Macaca mulatta: one gene and its partners. The protein of the gene in region 5 purifies or fractionates together with the protein of the main gene of each other region. This does not show direct contact. Links are inferred from orthologs where the notes say so. Each region holds a gene or a part of one and is shown on either strand. Other genes may lie near its edges.

Region 1 (5,253 bases), on a different chromosome or scaffold from region 5:
TATCAACTGAAAGTACTATAAATCTGCTGTGTGAGGTAGCTCATGCCTGTAATTCCAGTCTTTGGGAGGCTAAGGGAGGAGGATCACCTGAAGCCAGGAGTTTGAGGCTGCCAAGTGACCAATCCACTCTAACCTGGATGACAGAGGGAGATTCCCAACTCAAATAAATGAATAAATAACTTTGGATTGCTGTTTCTCAGATCATCTAAAATAACCATTCCTAAAACAGATCTTATTTCTTTGGGGGTGGGGGACAATACTTTTCCTCCAAAAGTTTCTTTTTATGCTTCCATCTTTTAAAGTAATTTTCTTCCAATTGATACTGAATTTGTGTATTAGTCTGCGTCATTCACTTCAGGAAAGCGCAACCATAAAAAACTCCCACTGTCAAAAATATAACATTTCCAAAAAAAGTTCCTTCATGACACCAAAAACCCCTCATCCCTCATCATCACCTAGTTCTTCTGGAAAAGGCAAACACACTTTCCATAAACTCTAGTACCTTTAATAGTACAATTATCGTAAGGATAGGAGAAACAGAACAAGTCAAAGATATTCAATTTGCCTGGAAAGAAAGGGGATAGGAGGCAGGAGAATTGCTTGAGGCCAGGAGTTCAAGACCAGCCTAGGCAACATAGGAGCCCCTGTCTCTATTTTTTTAAAAAAGAAGGGGGTGAGGGTAGGGAGCATAAGAGATTTTAAAATAAAAACTTCAGGCCAGATGCGGTGGCTCACATCTATAATCCCAGCACTTTGGGAGACCAAGGTGGGTGAATTGCTTGAGGTCAGGAGTTCAAGACCAGCCTGACCAACATGGTGAAACCCTGTCTCTACTAAAAGTACAAAAATTAGCTAGGCGTGGTGGCACGTGCCTGTAATCCCAGCTACTCAGGAGGCTGAAGCAGCAGAATCACTAGAATCCGGCAGGCAGAGGTTGCAGTGAGCAGTGAGATCATGCCACTGCACTCCAGCAAGGGCGACAGAGCGAGACTCTGTCTCATTTAAAAAAAAAAAAAAAAAAAAAGTGAAATAAGCACTCTTGTTGTATAGTAAATATAGAGGGGAAAGAGAGTGAAGGATAAACATAGCTTGCTTGCTTCACTCAAAGGTACTTATAAAGACACCCAGATTCAGCTTTGATTTTTAAGAGACTACCCTTGTGACAACTTACTTTGGAAAAAATAGTCGTGTAAATACAGAAAATACTAAATTCAACTTCATTAATTAATTCAACATTTAGGTGCTTATGTGCCAGAAACTGAGCGAGGGCAGAGTCCTTGTTCTCAAGGGCTTTTACATGTAATCTATCTCCCAGTTACTGAGTACCTACTGAGGCAGATGCGAGGGATACAACAGCAAACCGGAAACACAGATTCTCTACCTTCATGCAGCTTGTACTGAAGGAGGCGAATGCAAGGATGAGACACACATTTAACAAAGATACAACACTAAAGTGTTATAGATATCGCTTATGGAAGTGTAGAGGTTTCAGTGGGGACGCAAGGGATTCAGGCTGGGAGGAAAGGGAATGCTGGGACTTCAAATACGAAAACTGAGTTCTCAAAGAGGATTAGATGTCCACCTGGCTGACCTGGGGGAAGGGCTCCAAGCAGACAGGAACTGGAGCAAAACAAAGGTGTGAACAGCGTGTTGTATTTGGTAGGCCTGGAATACAGAATGTAAGAGAGAGAAGTTACGGAGGCTTCTGTATACCACAATCAAGACTGGACCTTACTGGTATATACGAAATGCCCCAGAAAAGTTTTATTCAGACAACCAGCATATATGATCAGGTTTTTCTGGTGTGATGAGACATTGGTTTACACAGGAATGAGAAAAGAAAATACTAGATAATGATGTCATCACATGAAACAACAAAGGAGCCTGCCCAGCCAGAAAACTAAACTCTTTAGGAAAAAATTAAGTACTACTACTATTGAAGCCCTCTGGAAAAGGTTGTATTCAGTATCATCTAAAATGGAAAAAGTATAGGAAAGGTTTTCAAACATATATTGTGGATTATGACATCCACATACCTATTTAGAGTTTAAGAGGTCTTCACTCGAATTCTGCAACACATCTGGGACTACTGATTGTTGTACAAAAAGCAGTAAAACATATTCAGGAGAGTCTTTGATACAAAGGGCGAACACGCGTAACCGAAGGAATTTCCCAAGCTAGGTTTAAAGGTTTCCAAAGTTGAAGCTAATCAAGTTTTCTTAAGTCAGCACGTTTAAAAGGTGTGTCATAAGGGTGGAGCAAAAGGAGGAGGGATTAAAATTAATATATATATATATAAACAAGTAACTCGATGTCGCTAGGGTTAAAATCACCACTTGGAGATCCGTCTCCCAAGCAGAGGCAGAAATGAAGACCTGCCAGATCCAATTAACAAAAAGACGAGGGAGGGGGTAAGAGGATGACCACACATGAAAACATAAATGGGGCGGGGGGGGGGTGCTTGGCAACCACCTATCCAGAACCCATAATCCAGTTGGCGGTGCGATGAGGAAATCATACGATTCAGACATAAAGGCAGGAAAATGTCACTCCCAAACTCCACAAGCGAACCACCAGACACTGGCCAAGGGGATGTGATCACATACTCTGATCCCAGAACTCAAGGGCAGAGAGTATCATCCCCACACGGTGCCCGAGGGGAGGCGAAGAATCAACCCTATTCTGAGATCAGAGAGCAAATGCCCTCAGATCCAGCCCTAAGGGGGTCAATGCCGCCCAGGCCAGGCCTTGCCGAAGCCAGGGGCAGAGATGGCCCCGAAGCCCCCTCAACCTCCACCAGAGCTGCCTCTACTTGCTCCCCCCAACACACACCCTCCCCTACCTGATATGGCGGCGGCGGCTCCTGATCCGGCTCCGTCCCCTCGCCAAAGCTAGCCCGGTCAGACTGAGACTCGTGAAGCAGGGAGATGTCATCCGAGGTGGGGGATTTGAGGCAGTTCCCCATCTTCCGGAGCTGGGGTGCGTGATCTGGGGGAGGAGAAAGCAGCGATGGGGTCGTTCGCACGCTCAGCGGTCCGCCTCGGTTGGCAAGGTGGGGTCGGGCGGCAGGCCGGGGATCAGGCGGAGGCGACTCCACCGCCCCACGGTGCCGCCAAGGGGCCGCTCATGCCAGCCCCCGGGGGTGGGGGCTCAAGGCTGGGCCGCGGGCTCCGCTGGGGTCGCGGCGTTTGCCTCCTGCGAGGCAGCGATGGGGGGGGGGGGCGGGGAGACGAAGCACTTCCCCACCCCGCCCCCCCGCGGGGCGGCGGCGGCCACGGAGCTGCTGGGCCTAATCCAGGTCAGCAGGGGGGGGCGCGGCCGTCGCGGCTGCCTCAGCTGCTGCCTCAGCTGCTGCTGCCCCCGCCGACGCCGGAGCCACGGCCGCGGGCCTCATCCTACTCCGCCTCAGCGCGGCAGTGGCGGCCAGAACGAGGCCGGCTCGGGCCCTGCGTCATCGCGCCGTGCGTGCTCTGGTTCCGCCCCCGGCGGCAGGAGGCGAGGGCGGCTCCGGCGGCTCCGGCGGCTACCATCCCCCTCTCCACCAGCAGCTGTTCCCCGTCCTGCGTCAATTTTTGCTTGTCTCTGACTGCTTGGCTCCGTACCTGACTCCGAAACCAATCTCCCGTCTCCCGCGCCAACCCACATTCGTTGCTCCCGCCCCGTCTAAGGCTCAGTTCTTACCTGTGCACTGCCTGACAATCTTCTCACCACCCTCCACGAGGCAGTCTATTTATATAAACCCATATCGGAATGGATTAGGCCCATGATTAAAATGTTAAAAGGCTTCCCCTTTATCGCATCAGAATAAGGTCCTAGCTCGTTAGTGAACCCTCCCTACCTCTCCAGTCATGTCCTTATCCTCCCACATCACAGCTGGAGAGATTCTTCTTCCAGTTGTGTATCAGATTGTTCATTTCTTTCCAGTCCCAGTACCAAAGTCCAAGCCACCATCATCTCTCACCTTGACTTCTGCAATAGACTCTCAGCTGTTCCTGAGTTCATCATTGCCCACATCCAATTCACTGTTGGCACAGTTGACAGAATTATCTTTTTAAAATTTGAATCGGATCGTGTCATTCTCCTGTTAAAACCTTCAATGTCTCCTCAAGGCTGTCCTTAAAACAATCCCTAAATGGTTTACAAATCTGACTTCCTTTCAATCTCATTATCAGCATTGTCACCTCTTTCTCAAATTCTAAACTAGGCTCTCAAATGCTTTTGGTTATCTGGAATACTATTGCCTCTGCCTGGGGCCTATGTCCATATTGTTTCTCTCACAGAAACCCGCTTCTCTCCACTCCCAACCTTTCTGCTTCTTATCAGGCTAATCATTATTCTCAGGAATCCTTCTGGATGCAACTTCATTTCCCCTGGGGAGACTCTCCTGACCCTCCAGTCTGGGTTAGTCGCTTCCTCTGTGCTCTCACACAGCCCGATCAAGCTGAATCATCTGTCCCTCTGTGCAAGGCTGGCACACTGCCCAAGGTAGAGTATGCTCTCTCCTTGGTTCAATGAACAGCTCAAACAACATATGCAAAAGAAGGAAGCAAGGATGACAGTGCTCCTGATAGACGTTCATTCAACAGGTGGTCTTGACTGCCTTTCGTTTTATTCATCATTTACTGAATTTGTGTGTGCGTGTATATACCAGAATCCACGCTAAGGACTGGGGAAAAGGATGATCACACCTGGCTTGTTGCTGATAGAGCCCAGAGACCACCTGGGAAGACAAGTAATCAGATGAGTCCTAAGCCCACACCCTGCCACGGACCCCAAGGTTTTTAGAGGAACCAGAAGACAGCAATTAGTTCATTTGAGGAACAGAAAGGATTCTTAGAGGTAGGGCTATATTAAACTTGAATGGGTCTGAACACTCTTACTCTGCAGTCCCTATTCTACGAAGTCACTATCTTATTTAAATGCACTCAAATTTTTGATATAAAATTTTTGAAAAGACTCATAATTTTGGGCCGGGTGTGGTGGCTTAAGTCTGTAATCCCAGCACTTTGGGAGGTTGAGGCGGGTGGGTCACTTGAGGTCAGGGATTCGAGACCAGCCTGGCCAACACGGTGAAACCCCATCTCTACTAAAAATACAAAAACTAGCCAGATGTGGTGGTGCACACCTGTAGTCCCAGCTACTCTGGAGGCTGAGGCAGGAAAACTGCTTGAACCTGGGAGGTGGAGGTTGCAGTGCAGTGAGCGGAGATTGTACCACTGCACTCTAGCCTGGGTGAGGGAGTGAGTAAGACTC
Region 2 (5,273 bases), on a different chromosome or scaffold from region 5:
TGCATAGAAAGCCTGGCATGGGCCACAGATCAGGGACTGCTCATAGATCCTAAATTAGGACTGGAGTTACCATGAGGGGAGTAAGGTGCCTGATCAACCATGCCCCTCCCCACTCACCCCCATCAATGCCCTCTATGCAGGAATCATCACTGAGGGAAAACTTCCTTTCCTCTCCAGACACTACTCCACACACAGACAAGACACCTAGGACAAATGCACCATCCTAGGCCCATCTTCCTCTTCCACACAGAGTCAGGAGACCTAAGATCTGACCCTCTCTGTGCTCCCAGCCTGGGTGCTGACTCTCCCCAGGGAAGCCAGAATGGAGGGATTCATAGCCCTCCCAGGCTCAAGAGCCTGTGACTCCCTGCCAGTCCCACCCCTGCAAAACCCCAGTGTCACCTGATGGATTCCCATACATCCCTCAGAGGCTAGCTACAGGCTAAAATATGTGTTCCCCACAAGGCAGAGGTCAGAGCAAGGCAAGTAAGTGCAAGCTCCTGGCCTGCTGGAGCCTCCTGACCTGCTGGAGCCTCCGCCTGTCTGCACCTGAGCACCAGGGCCTAGCCGGGTAAGCAAGGCTAAGGGTGGGGTGTGTGCAGGAAATCCCAAGAGGAGAACAAAGAAGGGGGGCAGTTCTCAGAGGTAATCGAGTATCTGGCTTCTTCAACTACTCACAGATGCCACCAAGACCCTAAACTCTATACAAAAGCTGAAAACAAAAGTTGAGAAGGACTATGGAAGACCCTGGCACTTGACACCCAAGGGGATGTGGGGAATGATTATACGTGGGGAATAAAGACGGTGCTCTTTACTCCAGAGAGGGATTACCCTGCAAAGCTTTGTCGAAAGTATACAAAGGCACAAATTGGGCATTTGACGAAGACTTTTGATTCTAGCTATGATTTGTGTACACCCAATTTCACAACTTAAAGCTGCTTGGACATAGAAAAGCACAGTATGGGTAAGGGCACTTGCATACAAATGCTAGAAGCCTGGGTACAGACTGGGGTAGATTCCGGAATTGAGGTAGGAGGAAATAGTACCTACTTCTTTGGTCTCTCCTTGGCCTGCCCTCCCCTTTCACTGCCTATGAAGTTGGAGCCTACATCATGTCCCTGAAACTGCACAGAGAAAACTACGACGTGTACCCTTTTAAGTTTACCGGAGACTTGAGATAAAGTTGCCACTTGAGGTGTGTGCTGGGATACCCACTCCCCTCGGCTGGGCTAAGGCGCCTCTCCTGGTGGCTACCACGCTCCAAGGGCACCCGAGGGAGCACCCGCAGCTGCGCCGACCCGCAGTGTCACAGAGAGAAGGGCAAGGAAGGGGACGGGGACCGGGAGCCGGGGCCCCGCCGGCCGGCGCAGCGCGCTCACCTGGCCCGCAGAGCCGGCTGAAGTGGTAGGGGTTGCAGCACACGGTGGGGCCGTCGGCGGCGGCGGCGAAGCTGTGGCAGCCGCACAGTGGCTTCAGCTCCACTGCGTGCTGCAGGTCGGGCCAGCGGAAGAGGCGGCCGAGCAGCAGCTGCGGCGGCGCGGGCTGGCCGCCCAGGCGGAGGTCGGCTCGCGGCACCAGCACGCAGCCGCCCGGCACGCCGCCGCGGGACTCCACCGCCTCCAGCAGCGTGTCCAGCGAGCGCTCCTTGAGCCGCTTCAGCAGCGAGTACGTGACCGTTTTGAGTTCCTGCTCCAACAGCAGCAGCCGCGAGCGCGCTTCGCGACTCCGCCCGCCGCCCGCCGGCTCCAGGGCCGCCCCGGCCAGGGGGTCGCTGGCGTCCCGGGGCGCGCCGGCGGCGTCCCGCTCCGAAAAGAGACAGCAGGTCACCGTCTCGCAGTCACTCTCGGGCAGCCAGCCCGGGCCTCCCGACTCCGCCACGTCCAGCAGGGAGCCCCCAGCGCCGGCCCCCGGCTCCGACATGGGCCTCGGGGGGCCCCCTGCGCGCCGGCGCCTCCCCGCGCCCTGGGCGCCTCGCTGTCCCACTGCGTCCCGGGGCCGCCGCGGGGCTACCGGGCGGACTTCGGAGCGGCCGCAGCCTCCGCCCTCTCTTGCCCGCGGGGCCGGCTCAGCTCGGCTGCCCAAGCTCCCATCCTCGTCGCCGCCACCACCGCCGCCGCTGCCGCCTTCCTCCCGGTCGGGGACCACACGACTTCGCCAAAGTCGCCGCACCAGCCCCGAGCGTTTGGACCTGAACATACGATATCCTTTGGCGCCAGGGGTGGGGGGGAGGCGGTCTCCGGTTACCGGGGGTCCGTTCCCTCAGCGAGGCGCCGGCTGCGCGGGTCGCAGCCCCACATGAAGCTCCGCCGCGGAGCGCCGTGCAGACCGTGCACAGCCTGTCGTCGAAGGGGCGCCGCAGGGCGACAACATGAGGGAGCTCGCCGAGGCGGGACGGCCGGGAACACGCGCACGCCGAGCCGCAGTCCGCGCGCGGCCAGCGGCTACACGGACCGCAGCGTCGGGGCTGCTCAACAACTCCAGTCCCCGCGCTTTAAGGGGCTGCAGGCGGCGCACCGCCAGAAAGACCCCACATGGGCCGGCGAGCCTTCAAAAGTTGCGCGGCTGGTCAATGAGCACAAAGCGCTCGCGCGAACCCCCAAATGTGTTTGGAAAGCCCTCCCTTTCCCCTGCCTTATTTTAAACCAAAGCGCTTAACTACATGGGCTTTTCCTGCAGGATCCGAAAGGCAGGCTTGTTGATAACCCCAGCTCCCTTCTTACTCCCTGCAAAAAGAAAAAAAAAAAAAAGGAAAGAAAGAAAAGGAAATCCCAAACAAAACCTAAATCCCTGGATTTGCATGCACGAAAGGCCAACGCCGTCTCAGGTCCCAGGCGCTAGATGCACTTGGAGCGAGTTTCTCCTGGACGCGGGTGTCAACACATGAGTGGAAGCTGTAAAAATCCCAAAGAGCTGCTGGGAATCCTTAATTAAAAATGCAGTCCACCGAGGCAGAGGTCGCAGCCCGCCCCACGCTGCCCTCGGACGCTTCGTGCGCCGACGCTGCCGAGGTCGCCCCCCCTCCCCCCTCCACAAAAGTGCCTCCCGGTGGCCCCGGGGTCCCAGCGAGGTCTGGCGAGGCAGCGCCCAGCGGCTCTTTCTCTCGGCTCGGCTCCCTCGATCGCTCCCCTGCTCCGCTCGCTCTCTCTTTTTTGTTCTCCTCAAACGCACACTGAGGGCCCCCGGAGGAGCGCCGCGGAGTCATTGGCTGACTCCCATCATATGCCAGTCTAGACACTTTGGCGGCTCCGCGGCGCTGATTGTTGCGCAAACAAGGTTTCAAGTTTCTTAACTCTTAAAGGAGAACACGTCCCATTGCAGGGCCGGAGGCTCCAAGGGGCCGGCTCCCGGGGCGGGCCGAGCTCTGGCCCCCGCCCCACACCGCCCCGGCACCCCAGCCCAGGGCCTGACAGCTCCCGCGGCCCGCTTTCTGCCTCGCGTTGTGCCCAGGGCATGGATGCGAGCGAGCACACACGCGCCCGCGGACACACACACACACATACACACAGGGTTACATGAGCCACGGGCAGGCGCGCGAGGCTCGGCGGACCCACTGAGACTCGGACGCAAGCGGGGCGCTTTGCCTCTCCCTGGCTTGTGCACAAACTTATAAACACACTTTGCACTTTACAGTTGTTCCAAACCCCCATCCCAGGGCAGGCTAATAAAAATGGGTGTGCGTGTGTGCCTTCCTGGGTTGAGCCTGAGGAGCAGGGGGCGGCGGATATGTTGGGGTAGCGGATCTTCCGTGACTGCACGAGGGGCTCTACGCTCCTTGCACAAAGTTGGGGGTCGCTCTGCCGGGCCAAACAGGGAACTTAGGGCGCTTTGCGCACGGTGGCTCCAGGCTCGCCCCGAGTGGAGAGATGGAGAGGGTGGTGTAGAGGCGGGGAGTGTCTACTCGCTGGCTCCTCTCGGTCGCCACGGCCCTCCCTCGGAGCGAGGCGGGCCGCCGGCCGGCCGGGCCGCCTCCAGGCTGGGTGCTTCCTCTCCCCTCTCCAGTTTACTCTCCGCACCTCGGAGAGGGCTGTAGGTGAGGGATCACGCTTTCCCTAGCGAGGTTTCCATGCGAAAATTAGGGTGAGTTGGGGGCGGGATCCGGGGCGCGGCGGCAGCAGCCTGACGCCTGGCGCGGGAAGGGTTAAGGCCGCTCCTGCCCCTGGAGCCGGCGCGGCGGGGTACCTCCTCGGGCGCGCTAGCTCGTCCGAGGGTGGCAAAAGTTCAAGCTTGTAAAGTCGGGATTGGTCCCGCGCGGAGGGGAAAAAAGGCCTGGGCCCCCCTCCCCCCCCGGGCGCGGCGCCGATTGGCCAGGCCGCGGGGCCGGCACCGCCCTCTCCCCCCGCTCTCGGCGGCCCCACCCCCGGCGCGGCGCCCCGCCCCTTTCCGGGCAGGAGCCTGGCCCCGCGCTGAATGAAAGAAATTCCGCTACTCTCATTGGCCCGGGACTGGACGCCATTCTCCCGCGGTGGCCGCGGGGCGCCGGCGAGCGGGTCTCCCTGGAGGGTGGCCACGCGTGGGGCTGGTCTGTGGCGTGCGCGGCGGTGCGAATCCCCGGCCGTGCCCAGAGGCTGTGTGCGCTGGGGGAAGGGTGGCATTTGCAAGGAGGATTCAGAACCATTTGCTGAGCTTTACCTGGAGCCAGGTACTGTTCGCGCTGCGCTCTCTGGGAGTGGCGGTTGCTCCCCGAACGAAAGATGGGACTGAGACACTTCCTCACACCCATCTCCTACTTTGGCCAAATTAAAGTAGCGGTCCTAGCCTCATTTTCTTGTTTGAAACCGCGGATAAGGATGCTTGCCCTTCGTGCTTCACAGAACCACGAAGCTCCCTGGAGATTGTGCACGTTAAATGCACAAATCTCAAGCGAACAGCAGGATGAATTTTCACAAGTGAACAAACACACAAGATGTCACCAGCACCCAAAAAGCAATGCACCCCAGAAGCCCGTCTTGTGGCCCCTTTCAGTCACTTTTCGCCCCTGGGGAAATTAATACATCTTCAAATACAAAGAGAAACTCAATGTATTTTCTTTTATCCCCGTGTCTGCTCTTTGTGGATTATCTTTGACTGTGGATTACAATAATAATAGTTCATGCGTATTGAGTCGTTACTATGGGCAAGGCAATGTTCCAGGACTTAGTTAATTCTCACACCACTTAACATAGGTACTATTATTATTAATATATAAGAACTTAGCATAGTTACTATTATCTCCACTTACAGATGAGGAAAACTGAGGCACAGGAACTTACTTGTGTAACATGCCACTAAAACGA
Region 3 (5,052 bases), on a different chromosome or scaffold from region 5:
CCTGGCGCCAGCCTCGGCGCTCCGCTCCTCCACGTCTGCGGCCGCCGCCGCCGCCGCGCTCGGCTGGCCCGGCTGGAAACCACCGGCTCAGCCGGAGCCGCGCACTTCACAGTTCACAGGCGGGGGGCGACCATACCCCCTCCCCGTTCTCGGACTCCAGACCCAGCTCCCAGCAACCTCGGTTCCCCGCCCTGGCCCGCCCCCCAGGGGTGCAATTCACCTCCGCCCCCGCCGGTCCGCTGGGCACCCGCGCGAGGGACACGGGGCTCCCCATTCCCAGCGCACTCGGGAGATGCAGCCCAAGCGTGCTGGTGAACTTGGGGGATCTGCGGTCGCCCGGGGTGAACCCTCACATCACACTCCGTGTACAGAGACATACAGAAAAGGAAGGAATGGAGAAAGCTGACAGGATAAAAGGGAAGAAGTTTCAGGGTCTCAGCCGAGAAGCCCTGGCCCCAGCGCAGTAAGGGGCGACAACGTCACCGAGGCGCAGGGCCCCACTAATCTATAGACTTATCTGTGCGGAAGGAAGGAAAAAGTAGGGGACACCCAACTTCTCCTGGCTGTTTGTTCCTCTGCACCCTGGGGCTGGCAGAGTTGAAATGAGACAGATACCCAGTTCGGCCTTCCATCCAACTCTCTTTGCCCCAAAACTCCAAAGCTGCGCGGCCACGACAGTGTCTGGGCCACTTGTGTTCGACGTGATTCTCCTTATTTACTGAAGGAGTAAATACGGAGACCTTCCAGCCTTTTTATAGCATGCTTCTCCCAGCCTTCCTTGGCGGGCCTGGACCAAATCCAACTCGGTCACACACCTCAACGCCTTTCCGGGTGCGGGGAGGCGTGACCCCCCCATCTCCCTCTGCACCCCCTTGTTGATCCGGAAATGAAGGCGTCTAATTTTTAACCGCAAACTGTGTGCAGGAGCAGTGCCCATAGACCCCTTCGGGGCAACACAGGAGAAATCCTGGAAGGGAAACCCCAGGGAATGCCCTTTGAGTTTCCCCGTGTCCCTTCTCTACTTTCGGCCCCCAGTCTCCTCCCAGGAGGGGATGCACACTCCCCCTGGAGGGGTGGCTGCACAAACGCACTGCCCTAAGGGCTTTTCTTCCAGCACTGGCGCGCCGGAAAATGCTGGGGGTAAGGGGACAACTTCTCACCTAGTTCGCAGAGTCGGCTAAGGTGATGGGGGTTGCAGCACACCAGCTCGGGGTTGATCTTCCCGTAAGATTCACAGCAACACAGCCTCTTGACTTCCGAGGAATGCCTGAGATCCGGCCACCTGAACACTTTGCACAGCAGGAGGGGGAGCGAGTAGGACGAGGGCGGCTGCGCAGGCTGCGCGCTGGCGGGCGCCCCCGGGCCCAGCCTGCAGTCCAGGCGGCCGGGCAGCAGGAGGCACGCGGTGCGCGTCCCGCCGCGGGACTCCACGGCCTGGAGCAGCAGCTCCAGCTGCCGCTCCTTCAGTTTCTTGAGCACCGAGTGCGTGAGCGCCTTCAGATCCGCTTCGGCGCCCCCGGCCGCGCCGGCGCCCGCGGCTGGCGGGTGGGGATGGTGGTGACCTTTGGCACCTCGCACCGCCTTGCCCAGGCAGCATCCAGCCCTGCCCGGGCCGCCGCCACCGGCCCCATGCGCTCGGCTGTCCGTCGCCCCTTCTCCCCGCAGCTCGCCGCCTCCTCCACCTCCCCCCGCGCCCTCCTCCTCGTCCTCGCCGCCGGGCGCACGGCTCCTCCAGAGACGCCGGACGAGCGCAGATCGTTTGGTCCTGAACATGCGGGGCGAGGAGGCGAGGAGAAAAGTCGTTTGGCGGCTAAGGAGCGAACATGACCTCCGCACACCATGAAGAAGTCGGGCGCCGAGTTGGGGCAGCAGGCGCAGGCGACAGCAGCAGCAGCAGGGGCCCGGGCAGGAGCGGCGGCGGCCCGAGGGGCGCTCCGTGGCATGCGCCAGTCTCCCGGAGGCCGGGGCGCGCGCGGGGGCCCGGGGGCGCCCGCCGGGGATCGGGGGCCTGCGCTCCGGCTGCCCCACCCCGCGCGGCCCGCGCCCTGCGCGGCTCTCCGGCCCCGGCGCGCCCCGGAGGAACCCGGCCGCCGCTTCCCTGGGGACGGCCGAGCCTGCCCCCGTCGGCGCCTCCCCAAAAAGAGGCCCCCCCGCAGTGGCTCCCGAATGTCGGGCTCGCCAGCCTCGGATTCCTACATGGAAGGTCCGCGGAGGCAAAAAAGCGAAAGGCGTTCGGCTGGGCTGCTGGAAGAAGGAAAAAGCCTCTTTCCCCCTTGCTAAGCAACTTAATTTGGGGGTGGGGAGAAGCAGGCAATTAAAAAAAAAAAAAGCAAGCACGCAATTTATTTTTTTTCTCTATATCCTTAGTAACCGGATCTCCTCGAATTCTGTGCACACGAAGACTCAGGGGAGGGGGCCGAGTGGACTTCACCCCGCATGAGATGTCTGGCGAAATAAGAAGGCTCTCGCAAAACCTAACAACCAAATATGCAAAGCCCCAAATGAAAAACACCACCTCCTCGAACCTCTGAGGTCTGGGGGCGTCCGGCTGGAGCTGGGGTTTAAAAAAAGAAAATGTTTACAAAGTATAACAAGATGTTTGAGGGGTGGAAAAATGTATCCACGAGTTACATCCCCCCCTTTTTTCCTTGCAAAGCCCCGCTGGTCTTCCTCTCCTTCTGCCAAAAAAAAAAAAAATCGTGTATTTTTTTAATCCACAGAAAGCTTTGGCTAGACCGCTTCAATCCTGCGCATCTGGGTGGTTTAGGGGAGTCTCTGGTCTTTCCTCCTGCGCTCCTGGGGGCCCAGGTCCTCGGCGGGGACTTCCTCGAGGCTGGCGGGGGCGCAGGGGCAGAAGATGCTGCGGCGGCGGCTGAGCCCGGCGGGGCTGACAGCGCGGGGGAGGGCGGCGCGGCGGCGGCGGCGGCGGAGGGCCCCAGGCGGGTCGCGCGTTCTCGCCCCCCCTGGGCACAAGCTGCTTGCTAGTGCGGGGGCCGCCGGTGTCCCTTCCCCTGGCCGCGGCTGCCCGCCGAGGGTCCCCGCATGGGCTGCTCGCCTGGCCCCAGCAGCGGCGGCAGGAGGCCCCGGTGTCCTCTCGGCGCCTCCTCCTCCGAGACTCTCCTCGTCGCGCCCGGGAGCCTCCTTGTCCCCGGTCCGCCCTCTCCTGGCGCTCTGGTCCTTCTGCCGCCGCCAGGGGCTCGCCGCGCCGCACTCTGGGGCTCAGGGGCCGGGCGTTCGGCGGCTCGGCGGCGGCGGACTGGCTCTGTCTCGGGCAGCTCTCTCCCGCGCGGCGAGCGGACCGAGCACGGCGCCCGGCTGGCTCGGCTGGCGCGGCTCGGGGACAAGATCTTCAGTGCGCCGAGCAGCAAGCGAGTGTGCCCAGACCTCGCCGCCTCCCGCAAGGCCTCCCGCCCCCGCCCCCGCCCCCTTCCCTCCCCCTTCCTCCCCCTTCCCTCCCCCGCCCCCAGCCGCCGCCGCCGCCGCCTCCTCCCCGCCCCCCCGCACCCCCCCTCCGGCCCTCTGCTCGGCTGGTTCCACTGCGCAGTGGCGCGCCCGGCTCCGGCCTCGTCACGTGGCCGTCTAGACACCCTGTCGCTTTAAAAAAAAAAAAAAAAAGCGATTGTGTTTCGCAAACAACAGATCGGGTTTCTAAAAGCTATTTCTCCCCCCAACCCCCCGCCACCGCCACCCCCTCCCGGGGCTGTAGATGGGGTACCGACGGAGGGGAGAGAGAGGTGGGGGGCAGAGAAGCTCCCAGAATCGATTGAGCCCCGGCGGGAGCCATGGAGAAATTGGAAAAGCAGGGAGCACCGAGCGGGCTTCGCTGCGAGTTTTGGAGCTTAGAGAGCCGGTCGGTGGCCCGATTTCGACCCGGCTGGGCTTCGCGGTGGCCATCTCGCGCGCGCTCGCTCTAGCGCTTCATTCATTGGTTTTGTTTTAAAGGCCCTGGCGGCGGATCCCTTGGCCGCGCCGGAGGGCAAGGGGAGGAGAGCGCTGTCTCGGTTTAAAAGACATTTATACGGGACTGGACCGAGGCCCCGGGAAGTGTGCGCTGAGGGGAACAGCCGCCGAGGGCGGGGAGGCGGCGTGAATATGACCTCAGCGGCGGCCGCGCGCTCCCTCCCGCCCTCTCCGCTCCGGGCTCCGGTTTCTAGGACTGCCTGGAGAAGTGTGTCTTGTGCACAGCTATGGAATGCATTTGGCCGGCTGACGAGCTGCGAGGGGCAGCCTCCTGGCGGGAGAAGGGGAGCGGGAGGCGGGGGCTCGCCTGCGCGCCGCCCGCAGGTTTCCTCCCGGGCCCGGAAGACCTCCGCCACCAGCCACCCTGCCTCCTGGCGCGGGAAGGTTACCCAGCGAGCAGACCTGCCTAGGGCATTTATTTGCATGCAGGGCCTGTTTCTGGGCCTCGTAGCTTTCAAGGTGCTTAGGGTCAGAGAGTTTATACCTTGACCCCAGGTCCCGAAGAAACATATACTCAAGCTGGCGAGTTACTGCATAGAAACGGGCATGGCATTGCTAGGGCATGAACGCATATACAGCGTGAAAGCTGATGGCTCTGAGAAACGTAATTATTTAAATACACACACATCAGTATTGATGAGGCCACTGGTTGGCATGGTGATCTAACCTCACTTCATATTCAGTGAAATACGATTTAAAAAAAAAAAAAAAAAGCCATTGAGAATTATGAGATCAGGCCCGCAGTGAAACTCATTGGGGGCTTTGAAGAATCTTTTTTCTTTTAAGAGTCTCACTCTTGACCCAGGCTAAAGTGCAGTGGCTCGATGTCGGCTTCCTGCAGCCTCTGCCTCCCCGGATCAAATGATTCTCCCACCTCAGCCTCTGGAGTAGCTGGAACTACAGGCGCTTGCCACCACACCTGGCTAATTTTTGTAATTTTTGGTAGTGACGCGGTTTCACCATGTTGGCCAGGCTGATCTGGAACTCCTGACCTCAAGTAATCTACCTGCCTCGACCTCTCAAACTGCTGGAAGTACAGGCGTGAGCCACTGCACCTGGCCTTAAAATAATCTTTAGAAAAGGTGAAATGTG
Region 4 (4,476 bases), on a different chromosome or scaffold from region 5:
ATTATGACTTAATAGAATATATACAGTATACTTCAATGCAGAACATACATTGACAATGTAGATGATAACAGAACGGGCTGCTAAGTATGGGTTTAAAATTCCAGTTCAGTCACTCACTAGTCATATGACCTTGAAAAGTTAGTTAATATCTAAGTCTGTTTCTTCAACTATAAAACAGGCATAACAATAGGCTTACTGTAAATAGGCCAGAAAAGTAGAGGAAATACTTGGCCCATGGTAAATGCTCCAAGGATGGCAGCTAGAGATGATGCTATTATGCTTTTTTATATTTTGCTTCAAAGTAGGTAAAAAGTGCTTAATTCATATTTATTTATTAGGCCGAATATTAAAGAATTGCATCTTCTACAAGGGACTTTCCTTAGATTCTCAGTTGAATTCATCTTTCTTTTAAATTTAAGAAACCTGGACGTCTCAGGATTTGCCTTGACAAAGTGCCACCTTCCCAACTCCAGGATCACTCTGGAGAATCACAGCCAAGATATGTAAGCTATATCTACACACACTCCAACCTGGAGAATTATATTAGGATTGGGAACACTTTCCTGGATGCTTTTCTCAGGTATCTCTTCAACAAACTAAACAAATACTGTGGGTGCCGCATCACCCACAGTATTTTTAATGGGTGGCTAAAGCAATCCTGGCTAAAGTCATGAAACCTTAACTGTCTTTCCCTTAACACTGCGTTACTAAAACCTTTCATCTTTTCCATTCCTTTCGACAAAGCCCTGTGAATTTAACCTTTTCACTTCATCTATAATAATCTCCAGTAAAACCACTAAAATTCAAGTGGATCCCCATGATTTCCATATGTAAATTTCAATGTGTTCAAAATTAGACAAAAAGTGACGTGGGGGAATGAAGAACGTTAGAAGAACAAGAGGAGCTGAAAAACACGGGACGTGATGAGTGAAAGAACCACCAGGGCGAAGGCGCAGTCCCCTGGCCGGGCACTGCTCGCCGCGTGGCTTACCCCCAGGGGCGGGAGCCCTTCCACGATGTTCTTCTTCCCAGAGAGGAGGTCCGACACCGGCCTCTTCTTCAGGGAGTCCCTCCGGGCTCGGTAGCGGCCAGACGTGGTGAGGTCGGACTCCGACATGGAGGGCGTCAGCAGCCCGTCTCTCCAGGGCCGCTGGGCCTCTGCGGTCGTGCCGACGGGACTGCTGTCCATCATCCTCTTCTCCGAGTCCGGGACGTGGGCCTTGGGCTCGAGGATGTGCAGGGGCCCGGCGAGCAGGGCGCGAGGGCAGCTAGGTGGGTCCTGGGTTAGGCCAGGCCGGGGCTCGCGCGCACGTCCAGGGGGCGCCCGGGCCCCGCTCTCCTCCTCGAAGTCCTCGTCCTCTTCCTCCTCGCTGCTGTGGATCAGCATGGTGGCGTCTGACAGGGACTTCTCATGGCCGTATCTCAAACCCTCCGCCTCCTCCTGCCCTTCCCGCTTCGTTCTCTCGGTGAAAACGCTGGGCTGGGAGCCCGCCGAGAGGGCTCGCGGCACCACCTCCGCCGCCGACGCGGACAGCGTCCGCTCCTTGAGCCGCAGGCCCTCCAGGCAGTGGCTGAGCCCGGCCACCTCGATGCTGTTCCGCTTGTGCAGCTGCGCGTGGCGCGCGGCGGTGAGGGGCTCGCTGACTTCCTGCAGCGAGTGCGCCACGGGCAAGCTGTCCTCCTGGAACGTCTGCACCGAGTGGTGCACGCGCCGCGTGATGAGGTCGGGGTTGCTACTGCTGATGTACAAGTGGCGGGACAGGTCGGGCGTGCTGTTGGCTGGCCTGGGGGGCGGGTAGGGTGGGGGTGGCCGGTACACCTGCGTCCGCATGATGTTGGGGGCCGGGTAGTCCTGCGCCTGCAGCTGCGCGTTCGTCAGCTCGGGCACGCTGACCGCGCCCACCACGGGCCGCCGCTCGGCGGGGTAGGGGTAGGGAGACGGGCTGTGGAAGCTGTAGCTCAGGCTGAACGGGCAGTGCGCCGTCGGCGGCGAGGGGAGCTGCGCGTGCTCGCGGATCTCGGGCTGGCTGTAGACCAGCGCCGCGGGCCTGCTGTAGGCGTACGAGCTGCCGATGTTGAGGTTTCGCAGCGAGTGGCTCTGCCGTTCCGCATGCACCAGGCCCCTGTTGAGCTGCTTCATCACAGTCTCATAGTCTGGGGTGGGGCGGTAGGACGGGGGTATCAGGGCGCTGTGCCGATGGGATGGGACGTAGTCAGGCCTCATGACGTCACTCCCGGTGATGCTTGGGTTGGACGACATCGGCGAGGGCTGCAAGTAGGGCTGAGGATTATTTAAGGAGTTGGTGCTGTGTGCGCTGTAGACACTGCCGTTACGAATCCGACCATTGAAGTCAATCTGGGCTCTATCCAAGCTTGTCTGAGAGTGACAGTAGTATCCGTTCTGGTTGGGCACAAAGAGGTTATCTAGAAAAAGAATAAGTTCAAAATGAGATTTTTTTTTAATTGGACTAATTACTCCAACCAAATATTGAGATCGGCCCTTACCTCTGAGGACATTTGAACACAGCTTGTAAAAATCCATGCTAAAATGACCTAGCTTTAGCCACACTATCTGAGTGACCCTGGGAGCTTCGGCTTCCTCATCTATAGGATGGGGGTGGCTCTGCCTACTTAAGGGGTGGCATTCATTGGGTGACAAAGTAAGACCCTGTCTTAAACAAACCACACACACAGCAGACTAGCAGACTTTTTGGTACTCTGGGGAAGCTGAGGCAGAGATACCATTCAAGGCACTGGGCTGGGGACTCTCTTCCCTGGGTAGGGATGTGGCCTTGCTGCTGCTGAGCCAGTTCAAGCACCGACTGTCTGTAAGCATTTCCTTAACTGGAATTTTTGATTGTTCTTCCCAAATGAATACACAAGCTTCGACTGTAAAAGGGTAATGGTATAGCAGGATCTGAGCTTCTCTGGTCCAACAGTGTCACCAGCAGCCACACAGCCCATAAAGTGTCCAGAGCCAAGAGGAGTCACATTAAAACAGCTGCAGCTGCCCCCTGCCCTGGCTCCCATGTTTCAGGAAGATTCAGACCTGCAGCTAACAGAATCAGTTTAACCTAATCTTACAACAGCTATGCATGTGTCCCTGCCCAGGGATGACAGGGGCCATGTTTCTTCTAGTCAATTTGTAGCTCACCTGCCTTCTGTTACTGAGGATGATTTCTAACCCTAGATGATTTCTAACACTCAGCAGCCAACTCCTTCAAATAACAATTTCCTCTGAAAGGCATTATTTGTGCTTCAAAATCTCCACAGTGATTTAAGTGATACTTAATATGCCACAACCCGGTGGGTACACTTTATTCTGGTGGCACATAAGGCTGTGAGGAAATAGCATTCAAACCTCCATGGTATTCTTCTGCTGACACACAGCACTTCCTTGTCACTGTGCTTTCCTTGTCTATGCAAAGCTTGGTCGTGGCTCCATCTCTGCAATCCCACTTTTCTCACTGCTGTCACAGCTCGGGCCCCTACCCCAGGCTTGTCTGAACTAGCTCTATATCCACCTAGTCTCCCTGCTTCTGCACCCCACAAACCATCTAGCCATTTATGGTACTGTTATGTGGAAAAGGCAATACTGAGAATAGAAGGGGAAAAAGACAGTTGGAATACAGGCACGAAAAGGGGAAAGGTATGCATGAAATCACCATAATTCAAGGAAGGGAGAAGAGATAAAAGGTTACAGGAGTCCAGAGGAAGGAATGGTCATTTCCAGCCTGGGTGGGGTTGATGGGGACAAGGAAGAGAGAACCAAGAACCACCTCGCAGAAGATATGGCAGTTAAGGGGACTTGAGGGGTAAGTGGGTGAGGTGGGCATGTCCAGCTTCCATCAGAAGTGAGGTCTCTCAACCTCTCAGAGCAGGCAGGATTATGCCTCCTCACCCCTTGATACCAGGCACAGCAATGCGACTAGTAATGGTCAAGGGAAAGTGTACAGAGAGTTAAAAGCCAGCTTCCAGGCTCTCTTCCAACTGCAACACTGACCAACAAACAACATTCCAGAGAGAAGAGGCTCTCCAGCTCAAGCTCCTACCGCAGACTCACAGAGGGCAGAGCCCTCCTGCTAGTGCAGTGTGCAATGGACAGGTGACCCTTACTATTACTTCCCTGAGAGTTTGGAATGGAATATTTTCTCAGCACAGCATAGCCCTGCCTATCTGGTCTGGATGGCATGTGAACAGAAGGGTGCATGAGGTAAGGGCACCTGGGGGTGCAGAGCAGCACTGGCAAAGCCAGGGAGCACCCCCCGGAAAGATGGGGTGGCTGGAGTGTCAGATAGCTACAGAGGAGTAAAATAACTTGGGAAGTAAGGTTGGAAGAGCAGGCTCAGTGAATATTGTGTGAAGTCTCGAACACTAGGCAAAAGAATGATCCTGTAGCTGGGGGCGGTGGCTCATGCCTATAACACCAGCACTTTGGGAGGTGAGGCAGGCAGATCACCTGAGGTTGGGAGTTCA
Region 5 (4,476 bases):
ACATCTATCTTGGTTGCACCTTTTGTTTGACCTTACATAAATGACTTAACCTTGCCAAGATTCTCGTGTCTTTGCTCGCTGTAAGATGGGCGTAGTAATGATGGTGGCCAGCCTCCGTGTTCTCATGAGGATGACCTGAAGTGAGGTTCACAGTGTGCTTAGCATGGTGCCCACCCTTATTAAATGACAAACCCTACAACCACTTTTTCACACGACTTTTCAACCAATTCAGTGTTATTTAATTTCTTCAAGTGTGTACTAGTTTCATGATTGAATATAGTTTAGCATTTATTTCATATTAAAGTACATTGGATTTCATTACAGTTTGTGAAAGAGACAGACAATGAAGTAAGAATGCGACTACTGCAGTTCGTCACTGGAACCTGCCGTTTACCTCTAGGAGGATTTGCTGAGCTCATGGGTAAATGTAGTTTCACTGTAATTTCTCTGTAGATAATTTTGTGATAATAATGGCCTTTGGACATACAGTAGACTTGAACTAAAGATTACTCTTCTGTGCTGTAGATAGGACTTCATTTAGAAGAAAGAAAAATGAATGGCTAATATCAAAGCACTTGTAAGACAAAAATGAATGTCTCCTCATATAGCTGAGGTGGCCATTGCTTTGCTCCCTAGGGTGACTGTGAAGGGAGCGACATTCTGTATAAATAGTTTTCTTCCCACTGATTTAATTCTTATTGCTGGATCTCTGCAACAGTAAGAAGCTTCTTCAGGCAGAAGCAGCTTACATTGTGAATTTCTTCTTTATTTCGTATCATTCATATGATTATGCAGCATGTTCTATTATTTAAGTAGTTGTCAGAAGAAAAAAGTTTAAAGGACCAGATAAACTTTGTCTTATTTTCCTGGTGTAGGAAGTAATGGGCCTCAAAAGTTTTGCATTGAAAAAGTTGGCAAAGACACTTGGTTACCAAGAAGCCATACATGGTAAGTTCAAGAATCCTAAATACGAAGGTGAAAGCCACAGAGAATCTTTTGTTTTGTTCCTTTAAAAATATGTAAGATCCAGTATAACTGCGTATTCATTAAAGTAGTCAGAATTTCAATTTTGAGAACACATTGATTAATACAGCATTCTATAACTGAACACTTTAGCGTGTTCTCATTAATAGAAATACTTGAGAAATGCATCCATGGATTCAACAAATATTAGTGTACCCACTATGTATAAAGTAAGATTTAAGTATTCCCTGTCTTTTATGAAGTTTGTGCCCCATGGTGGGGCGCAAATGACAACAGATAAACAAATAACTATTTGCAAATCCTGGTAAGTCCTTCGAAGGGAAAAATGAGAGTACTCTAATAGAGAACAACTAATGGGAACCTACTCTGGGTTGAGTGGTCAGGGAGATTTCTTGGAAGGGGTAATTTGCTTAAGTTGAGTTTGATAATGAGCATGCTGTGGGAATAAGCAGAGAAAGAACATTCTTTGCACAGAAATGCCAAAGTAAGCAAAGACCCTGAAGAAATTGTTTTTCAAGGAAATGAAGATGATAGGTATGATTGGAACTTGGTAAATCAGAAGAAAGGGAGATGAAAAAAATTGGGGGATGTAGGCAGGGATTAAATTATGTACAGCCTTATAGGCTAATATAAAGAACTGAGATATCAAAGAAAAATTAGACAGCTTTGAAAAGTTTTAAATAGCAAGTAATAAATCCCAGAAAAATCGGCCGGAAAACAGTATAGGGGAGGAGTTGGATGCAAGGGTGAATGCAGGGAGAGTAGTTAGGAAATTGTTATAGTTACCCAGGCCAAAGATGACAGCCTGGAGATAGGTGATTCTTTCAGGAGGTCAAAACTATTTTCATACCAAGCCATTATTTGCCTTTTTATCATTTTGAAATTTCTACTTGTGGTGCAAAAGCAATGGTTTGTGAACCTGCTTGTGCCTTAGCATAAATCAAGGCAGTGGCACCAAACTGCTACTACCTCTGTATTCTTCAGCACCATATACTTGAGGTTTAAAGCAAGGGAAAAAAAAAAAAAAAAGCAAAAAGGCAGGTTCATTGAAGTTCTTTATGAAGCAGTAAAAATTACTAACTTTATTCAATCTTGATGCTTGAGTATATGTTTTTTTAACATTTGTGTGACAAAATAGGAAGTCTGAAATAGCACTTGTGCACACCAGAGAATGATTTTCTTAAAGGAAAGCTCTTGGGCAGTTGTTTGAGTTGAAAACTGAACTAGCTTGTTTTCTTTTATGGAACACTATTTTTACTTGAAAAAATGACCGCCAGCAGTTTATGCAGACTTAGGTATTTGACAGACATTTTCTTGAGAAGTAATGTTGTTAGCTTGTCATTTTAAGGAAAACAATAGGCATTTGTTGGTGGTGATAATTACCACCATGAGCTTGAGAGCTTCTGAAGACTTTCGTCAATGAGATTAGTGAGATTGTTTGTTTTTTGTTTTTTTGAGACGGAGTCTTGCTCTGTCACCCAGGCTGGAGGGCAGTGGCGCGATCTCAGCTCACTACAACCTCCGCCTCCCAGGTTCAAGCGATTCTCCTGCCTCAGCCTCCTGGGTAGCTGGGATTACAGGTGCGCACCACCATAGCTGGCTTATTTTTGTATTTTTAGTAGAGACGTGGTTTCACCATGTTGGTCAGGCTGGTCTCGAACTCCTCACCTCGTGATCTACCCGTCTTGGCCTCCCAAAGTGCTGGGATTACAGGAGTGAGCCACCATGCCCGGCTGATTAGTGGTATTTTAACAAATGTGATTTTTTTTTCCTATTATATAATTAAATGAGTCAACATTTAGAAAATCCTTATAATTCAATGAGTCATTATTTTCAAATGATCAGTGAATGCTACAACAAATGTTACAAAATGACGCATGAGTAAAAGATCTATTCAAAGTGCAAGAGAGTCTGGGCACAGTGACTCACACCTATAATCCCAACACTTTGGAAGGCCGAGGTGGGAGGATCGCTTGAGCTCAGGAGTTTGAGACCAGCCTAGGCAACATGGTGAAACCCCGTCTCTACAAAAAATACAAAAATTAGCCGGGTGTGTTGGCACACACCAGTAGTCCCAGCTTCTCTGGAGGCTAAGATGGGAGGATCACTGGAGCCAGGGAAGTCAAGGCTGCAGCGATCCATGATCACACCACTACACTCCAGTCTGGGTGACAGAGTAAGACCCTGTCTCAAAAAAAATCAAATCAAATCAAAAACAAAGTGCAAGAGAGAACAGTAAATTTTGTATAACAAAGTACAAAGTGTTCTTTGACCTGATTTCGAACCATATTGTGCATTCCCTTGTCAAATTTAGTATCAAAGAATAATATCGATAATTATCTGACAAGATGAGTAGAGTATATCTCTATTTCTAACTATTTTTCTGTGTGGGGCAGTAGATTAAATGTACAAGTAGATATCAGAATCCAGATGTTTTCTGTTACACCAGATATTTAAAAGATTTCCAAAACTATAAAACAAAATCACTCTTTCCACTATATTTTTTTGGAAATACTTGGGTTTTTCCCATTAAAATGTTTATTTTCATATCAAAATGAATTAATACTTTTTAAACTTCTGTTTTAACTTGTAAATATCAGTAGCTATAATTCATATAAATAAAATATGTTTTAACTTTTAAATATCAGTAGCTATAATTCATATAAATGAAAGCTCTTTGCAGTTGGAAATTTTTTTTTCCGAGACAGTCTTGCTGTGTTACCCAGATTAGAGTGCAGTGGCACAAACACAAGTCACTGCAGCCTCAACCTCCTGGGTTCAAACAATCTTCCCACCATAGCCTCCCCAGTAGCTGGGACCACCAGTGTACACCACTATGCCTGGCTAATTTTTTAATTTTTTGTAGGGACTAAGTTTTGCTATGTTTTCCCAGGTGGGTCTTAAACTCTGGGCTCAAGCCGTCCTCCTGCCTTGGCCTCTGAAAGTGCTGGGGTTATAGGCATTAGCCACCGCTCCCAGCCAAGGTTGACAATATTTTTAAGAGTGAAAAGGAGTCCTGTGACCAAAATTTGAAGACCTCTGCCTTCAATTAAAGTGGTAGATCCAATATCTACCACTTTTGAGTGATTTTTGAGTCAAGGGGAGAATTAAAATAGATTTCAAATTTTGTGAAGGGAAAGTAATTACCACCCACTGATTTCTGTTTTCTCAAAGTATAAGGAGAAGTCACTGGCTAAGAGTGAAGAAAGGAAAAACTTTCGAAGGAAAGAAGGAATTGGGAGAATTGTTAGAGAATAGGGAAGTATTGATTAGAGGAACACGGCTAAGATTGCTAGGCAAAATTGGATTGTTCACTTGGATTAGTAGTATATTTGAAATGACAACCGTCTACTTGAATGCATGATTTCCTCCCCCAGTAATTTTCAGCTGTCAAGTTGAAAGGAACAAGAAAGCAGAAGATTGAGTTCATCAGAATTTGAGTTTATGAGTTCAAAAGAGGGAGAAGCGTGAGATTTAAAAATATTTGTAGGC
Region 6 (4,936 bases), on a different chromosome or scaffold from region 5:
GAAGGCCAACAAGTCCTTTGCTGCTTCTTTTATGCCACAACAGTCTCAGGGTGCTGTGCTCAGTTTGGTAGCATAGTGATGTTAGAGCAACAAAATATATTTCCTAGTGTCTTTCCACTAGAAAAGACACCAAGCACGAGGCCTCCCATCTCCCAGGAAAGAGCAAAAGCCAGAGTTTTACATTGAGAGCCTGAAGGCATTTTCTTATCTTTAATCCTAATCCTGTTTGGGTCCAATTTCAAAGAGATTAAGAGCATGCACTTTAGGCCTGACAGACTAGGGACCTGATCATATCTTCCTAGTTGTATGACCCTCAGTGAGACAGGTAATTTCTTCATGCCTCACTTTCCTCATCTAGGAATGGGGGAGTGCTTTCCACACTTTCTGGAACACAGTCAGGCACTGCCTAATGTTTTCTTTGGAAACCTAGCGCGTCTGTACAGCTATTTCCTTTAAAATGTGAGAAAGTTGATTTCCCTTCAACCTTTTCTTTCCATCACTTTTGCATTGCACTCGGCGTTTTCTCTAATTCTTTATAGTTCTAGAGATTGGCAGATGCTCGAAGAAAATCAGAGTCACTACGGATTTATTTATTTTATTTCATTTTATTTTTTTGAGACGTAGTCTGGCCCTGTAGCCCAGGATGGAGTGCAGTGGCGCGATCTCGGCTCACTGCAACCTCCGCCTCCCGGGTTCAAGCAATTCTCCTGCCTCAGCCTCCCAAGTAGCTGGGACTACAGGCGCACGCCGCCACGCCCGGCTAACTTTTTGAATTTTAGTAGAGACGGGGTTTCACCGTGTTGCTCAAGCTGGTGTCGAACTTCTGAGCTCAGCCAATCCGCCCGCCTCAGCTTCCCAAAGTGCTGGGATTACAGGTGTGAGCCACCGTGCTTTTTGGTTTCCAGTTCTCTTCCCCAAGAGGCCAGGAATTTTTGCATGAGTTGCCAGACACTGAAGTGATTTGGGACAGCACATTCTGTGACAACGACTTCAAGGCTCTTTTTCAACAAAGGACTGGAATCTTAGCAAGATAACATATCCCAAGACATGTTAGCAATGCAAAGGACCACAGAAATCTAGACAAATTCTTTAATTTTACAGCTACAGAAACCTAGGATCTCAGGGGCTGGGATACTCCTCAGTTATCCAATCGGGCAGGGCCTAAAACTCAGGTTCAGTCTCCTGGCTCCAAGCTTTTTCCATCATACCAGCTGCGTCTCATTAACTCCACCTCCGAAAGTGCTAAGGAAGTTCCCTCCCAGTGCCTACCCAAGCAGGGTGGGGCGATTCTGTGGCATGGAACAAACCGGGAAAACGACATTTTCCAACTCTCAGCACAGAGGCTGCTTTTTATCATTCCTAGGGGGCAGGAGGGGGCAGGGAGAGAAGGCTAAGACACCGGGTCCAGTACCCAGAGGTTCTAGGGAGAGATCTTTGAGATTGCCTACTTGGTGAGGCCACCTTACTTTCTCCTGGTCTGTTTTCCCCTGTGGGGTGGCTGCATGAGGCGTCCTGCTTGGAGGGTTCCCCAATATAAGGTGGACTGTCCTTGATCTAGGTCGGGGTGGGCAAGATCCTGCCGCCATCCCGTCTCTGCGGTCCTCGGAAGTCTAGGTGGGATCTTCCTTTCCTTGCCTCTTTCTTCCCAACGGCGGGAGCGGCACAGGGTTGGGGTGGTTGCGGTCGCCTCGCTCTCTCCACTTCAACGTCTCTTACTCCAGGGAGTTTCATCCGGTCCTCCGTCCTCGGCCCCCACCTTTTAAAACATTTTCCAAAACTACACCATTAAAAGTGCGCGACTTCTCCGGGCCTGCAGAAGGAGCTCCTGCAGCCCGGCATTCCTCGGATTCCAGCGCTGTGACGTCCCCAAGGACGGCGCGCCTCCAGCTTGGGAGCTCTGGAGCTGGGGCTCCACGTTTCAGCGCGCGCCCGCGGCGCCCCCGGCGCGCGCCCTCCCGGGCCGCATTCCTCCCCGCCCCCGGCCGCGCGCCCCGCGCTCCCTCCGCCTCCAGGCCCCCAGCGCTGCCGAGCCCGGCTCTGGGGTGGGGGAGCCGTGGCCGCCGGCGCTTGCTCCGTCCCCTCCCACTCGCACGGCCCCTTCCTCCCTCCTCTGCCGGCCGCTCGCATTTCCTGCCGCTCTGGCTCTCCCGGCCCCTCAAAGTTCTTCCCAACTTTTTCTCCGTGGAGTGAGCGCAGGGGACGCAGACTCGGGGGCAGGTTGCTGTGCTCCTCCGGGCTCGGCCGCCTGCTCTGCTGGCTCAGGTCCTTGGGGAGCCCTAGACAGACACAAGTGGCCACTGGCGCTCCTTCCCCTCCCAGCTGAGCCATCCTCCCCGGCCTCCTGGAACGGGACAGCCAGTGCTTAGGTTTTTCTCCTTTTCTTCCCCGGTGCGCCTCTGCTCCGACTCTCGCGCCGGGATCGCGGCGGAAACCTCCCTCCCCTTTCGCCTCCTGCGGCTCCTTCCCTTCGCCCCTCCTCCGCCAGCCACTGGAATCAATTCCGTGGGGAATCGGGGCTTCGCCGCCGCGAAGGACAGCCTTTCCGCGCGGGACTCCGGGGCGCCACGGGGGCCATGTAAGCAGGTAAGCCCCGTCCAAGCCGGGGAGTCGGGCCCGAGGTTGGAGGCCGCCTCGGCGCTCCGGGCGCCCTGCAGATGACTTGGGCAGACGCTGGCAACGCCAACTTGCGATTGGCGGCCCGGGACGCCTGGCAGGGCAGCGGGGGCGCTGGGTGGCCGGGCCGCAGGGGTGTTATCTCGCGGTGGGAGCTGCCCGTGGTGAGGCGCAAAGCTTGTCCCGGAGCGAGCTGGAAGGTGAGCGCCGTCTGGGGAGTTTGTGGTTAAACCCACACCCTCGTCTTCTCTCTCCCTTCCCTTCTGCGTTTTGGGAATGAGAGAGGGCCTCGGAGGGGCACCTGGAGATACCTAAACCTTGGGGGCTAGAGGATGAAAGACGAACGACGTCGCGGTCGCTGCAGCGGTAGGGGGACGCAGCTGCCCGACGCCCCCAGTTACCCCCCCACCACCACCGGGAAGGGATCTTGAGGCGAGCGGAGTTTTCCTGCCCTCTCACTAGGCCTCAGTGGTGCCACCGAACTCCTGGGCGTCGAGGCTCCTACTTGGGTGGTCGGGCTGGCTCGTAGAAAAAAGCTGTGGTCACACAATTTCAGATCAGGTCTCCACCTCAAACTTTTCAAGTTCTAGGTATTAACAGCCTCTCCTTCCCCACGTGACCCCCAGATCTCGGGTTTGAATACTTGTAAATGGGTTTTACACCTTTTCGTTTGGAGAGAGCAGTGAGGTAACGCTGCCCCTACCTCCCTTTTCCTCTCACTTCCTTCAGTTCCTGTCCTCCAGCCCCCTCATCCCCACCTACAATTTCAGAGATTGTAGGGTTTCCGCTTAAGTCTGGGGACTGGCTGTCGCAGGTTCTTTGTGAAGGTGAGAAATCTCTAGATTGCAGGCGCGGGCAGTTACAGAGTTTCCACCAATGTGTTAACTTCTTGAAATGGATTAGTTTACTCATTCATCCAACAAACCCAGCTTCCACTCTGCTAGAAACAGGGGATAGAAAGATGCTAAACGAGATCACAGGGCAGGAGTCTGCAGCCTAGTGGAGGAAACCTGAAGGCAGATGAAGAATGATAATGCGTGGAAGATGGGTTCTGTGAGAGTCTGAGGCGAGCTTGGTCCTGGTGAGGCGTGCACTGCGCTTAGAGAATGGAGGTTGTGCTCATCTGGAGGGTGTATTCCAGGCAGAGGAAACAGCTGGTGCAGAGTGAACACAAGAAGGACCGAAAGTTTCCCTAGCCATCTGGGGGCCCAAGGGGCATTTATGGCCATGTTGGTGCGGTGTTGCTGGGATAGCATTCTCTCCACCCCCAATATAAGAAATTAATCTAGGAGTGCGTTAGCCACTGATGGGAACCACAAGTAGCTTCCAGTGGAGCCAAGGCCTCCCTCTTTGGATACACTTCCATGCCTGCTGCTGTTTTACCACAAGCAGCTGTTGTATGATCATCTAAATTTTAATTGGCCCATGCTCGGTTTCGTTAACATGGTATTGATTATTCTTCTTTTTTATCCCCCACATTCAAACAATGATTCCTTTTTTAAAAGGCTGCTTGACAGCCATAGGTGTGGTAATATAAGGCTTTACGGACCTTGTATTATAAAGTTACCTAATTGTTTGGTGATGGGGTTAAAGCTTGTGCCATAGAAATGACAGCCTTAATGAGCGGGAGCTGAATGGCATGATGCCCTTTTTGCCCAGTCTGAATGGGTGGCCATGTGGTGCAAAATTAGTTCATCTGTATGTCACGAAGTTTGTTATACTTTTCTCTACTTTGAAGTCATTACTATTGCTTTAGCACGCACAGTTGTAAGGACTGTCGTTCTTCTCTCTGAAACTTTATGAAAATAGAAAACACTATCTTCTTGCAGATTTTTGTAGCCTAATGGCCCAGGATTCAGCAAATCCTGGCTAGAAAAGTTACTTACAATGCAGTAGCGTTCTGTACGTGGTTTGCCTTTCAAGGGTGCCTCTTCACTGGACTGAAGTGGTGCTGTAGTATTGTTCCTAGTGGCTGAGTCCTGGCCGAAGTGGCAGACATCCAGCTTTTGGTGACCTCAGGCCAGTACATCAGAGTAGGAAGAACACAGTGACTTCCTACACCTTTGGGTGTTTATCCAAGCCCCTCGACCAGCATCTTTTCTTATCTCAAGAACAGCCCCTTCACAGAAGGTTTCCTGAAGGTGTGGGGACCTGCATGAGAGACATGGTTGAAGAGAAGCCCTTTCCCGCGAATCCCAGGCATTTGCCCAGTTTCCATCATTGGCTTCAACATGTAATTATTATTAACACTTGAGTTATTCAGGTTTGTGCATACTGTGTCACGCTGGTAGCTGTACTAGAAAGAACAGTTAGACTTTTAATA

What was found.
Region 1: the proteins of WWP1 (region 5) and RNF11 purify together in Homo sapiens (affinity purification with mass spectrometry; 3 studies listed by BioGRID, with this or other methods). This does not show direct contact. The link is inferred for Macaca mulatta from reciprocal best matches to the Homo sapiens genes WWP1 and RNF11.
Region 2: the proteins of WWP1 (region 5) and SMAD6 purify together in Homo sapiens (affinity purification with western blotting; 3 studies listed by BioGRID, with this or other methods). This does not show direct contact. The link is inferred for Macaca mulatta from reciprocal best matches to the Homo sapiens genes WWP1 and SMAD6.
Region 3: the proteins of WWP1 (region 5) and SMAD7 purify together in Homo sapiens (affinity purification with western blotting; 3 studies listed by BioGRID, with this or other methods). This does not show direct contact. The link is inferred for Macaca mulatta from reciprocal best matches to the Homo sapiens genes WWP1 and SMAD7.
Region 4: the proteins of WWP1 (region 5) and PTPN21 purify together in Homo sapiens (affinity purification with mass spectrometry; 3 studies listed by BioGRID). This does not show direct contact. The link is inferred for Macaca mulatta from reciprocal best matches to the Homo sapiens genes WWP1 and PTPN21.
Region 6: the proteins of WWP1 (region 5) and PTPN14 purify together in Homo sapiens (affinity purification with mass spectrometry; 3 studies listed by BioGRID). This does not show direct contact. The link is inferred for Macaca mulatta from reciprocal best matches to the Homo sapiens genes WWP1 and PTPN14.

Annotation. Positions count from the first base shown.
Region 1 is NC_133406.1:189,424,754-189,430,006, forward strand, and holds the start of RNF11 (RING finger protein 11), read right to left. Parts: upstream 3,214-5,253; 5' UTR 2,966-3,213; coding exon 2,843-2,965; intron 1-2,842. UniProt on the Homo sapiens protein: Essential component of a ubiquitin-editing protein complex, comprising also TNFAIP3, ITCH and TAX1BP1, that ensures the transient nature of inflammatory signaling pathways. Promotes the association of TNFAIP3 to RIPK1 after TNF stimulation.
Region 2 is NC_133412.1:44,192,310-44,197,582, reverse strand, and holds the start of SMAD6 (mothers against decapentaplegic homolog 6), read right to left. Parts: upstream 3,258-5,273; 5' UTR 2,197-3,257; coding exon 1,380-2,196; intron 1-1,379. UniProt on the Homo sapiens protein: Transforming growth factor-beta superfamily receptors signaling occurs through the Smad family of intracellular mediators. SMAD6 is an inhibitory Smad (i-Smad) that negatively regulates signaling downstream of type I transforming growth factor-beta.
Region 3 is NC_133423.1:43,376,749-43,381,800, reverse strand, and holds the start of SMAD7 (mothers against decapentaplegic homolog 7), read right to left. Parts: upstream 3,377-5,052; 5' UTR 1,774-3,376; coding exon 1,161-1,773; intron 794-1,160; exon of another isoform or gene 616-793; intron 1-615. UniProt on the Homo sapiens protein: Antagonist of signaling by TGF-beta (transforming growth factor) type 1 receptor superfamily members; has been shown to inhibit TGF-beta (Transforming growth factor) and activin signaling by associating with their receptors thus preventing SMAD2 access.
Region 4 is NC_133412.1:161,712,530-161,717,005, forward strand, and holds part of PTPN21 (tyrosine-protein phosphatase non-receptor type 21), read right to left. Parts: intron 2,425-4,476; coding exon 992-2,424; intron 1-991.
Region 5 is NC_133413.1:96,936,535-96,941,010, forward strand, and holds part of WWP1 (NEDD4-like E3 ubiquitin-protein ligase WWP1), read left to right. Parts: intron 1-324; coding exon 325-421; intron 422-875; coding exon 876-948; intron 949-4,476. UniProt on the Homo sapiens protein: E3 ubiquitin-protein ligase which accepts ubiquitin from an E2 ubiquitin-conjugating enzyme in the form of a thioester and then directly transfers the ubiquitin to targeted substrates.
Region 6 is NC_133406.1:72,248,805-72,253,740, reverse strand, and holds the start of PTPN14 (tyrosine-protein phosphatase non-receptor type 14), read left to right. Parts: upstream 1-1,851; 5' UTR 1,852-2,583; intron 2,584-4,936. UniProt on the Homo sapiens protein: Protein tyrosine phosphatase which may play a role in the regulation of lymphangiogenesis, cell-cell adhesion, cell-matrix adhesion, cell migration, cell growth and also regulates TGF-beta gene expression, thereby modulating epithelial-mesenchymal transition.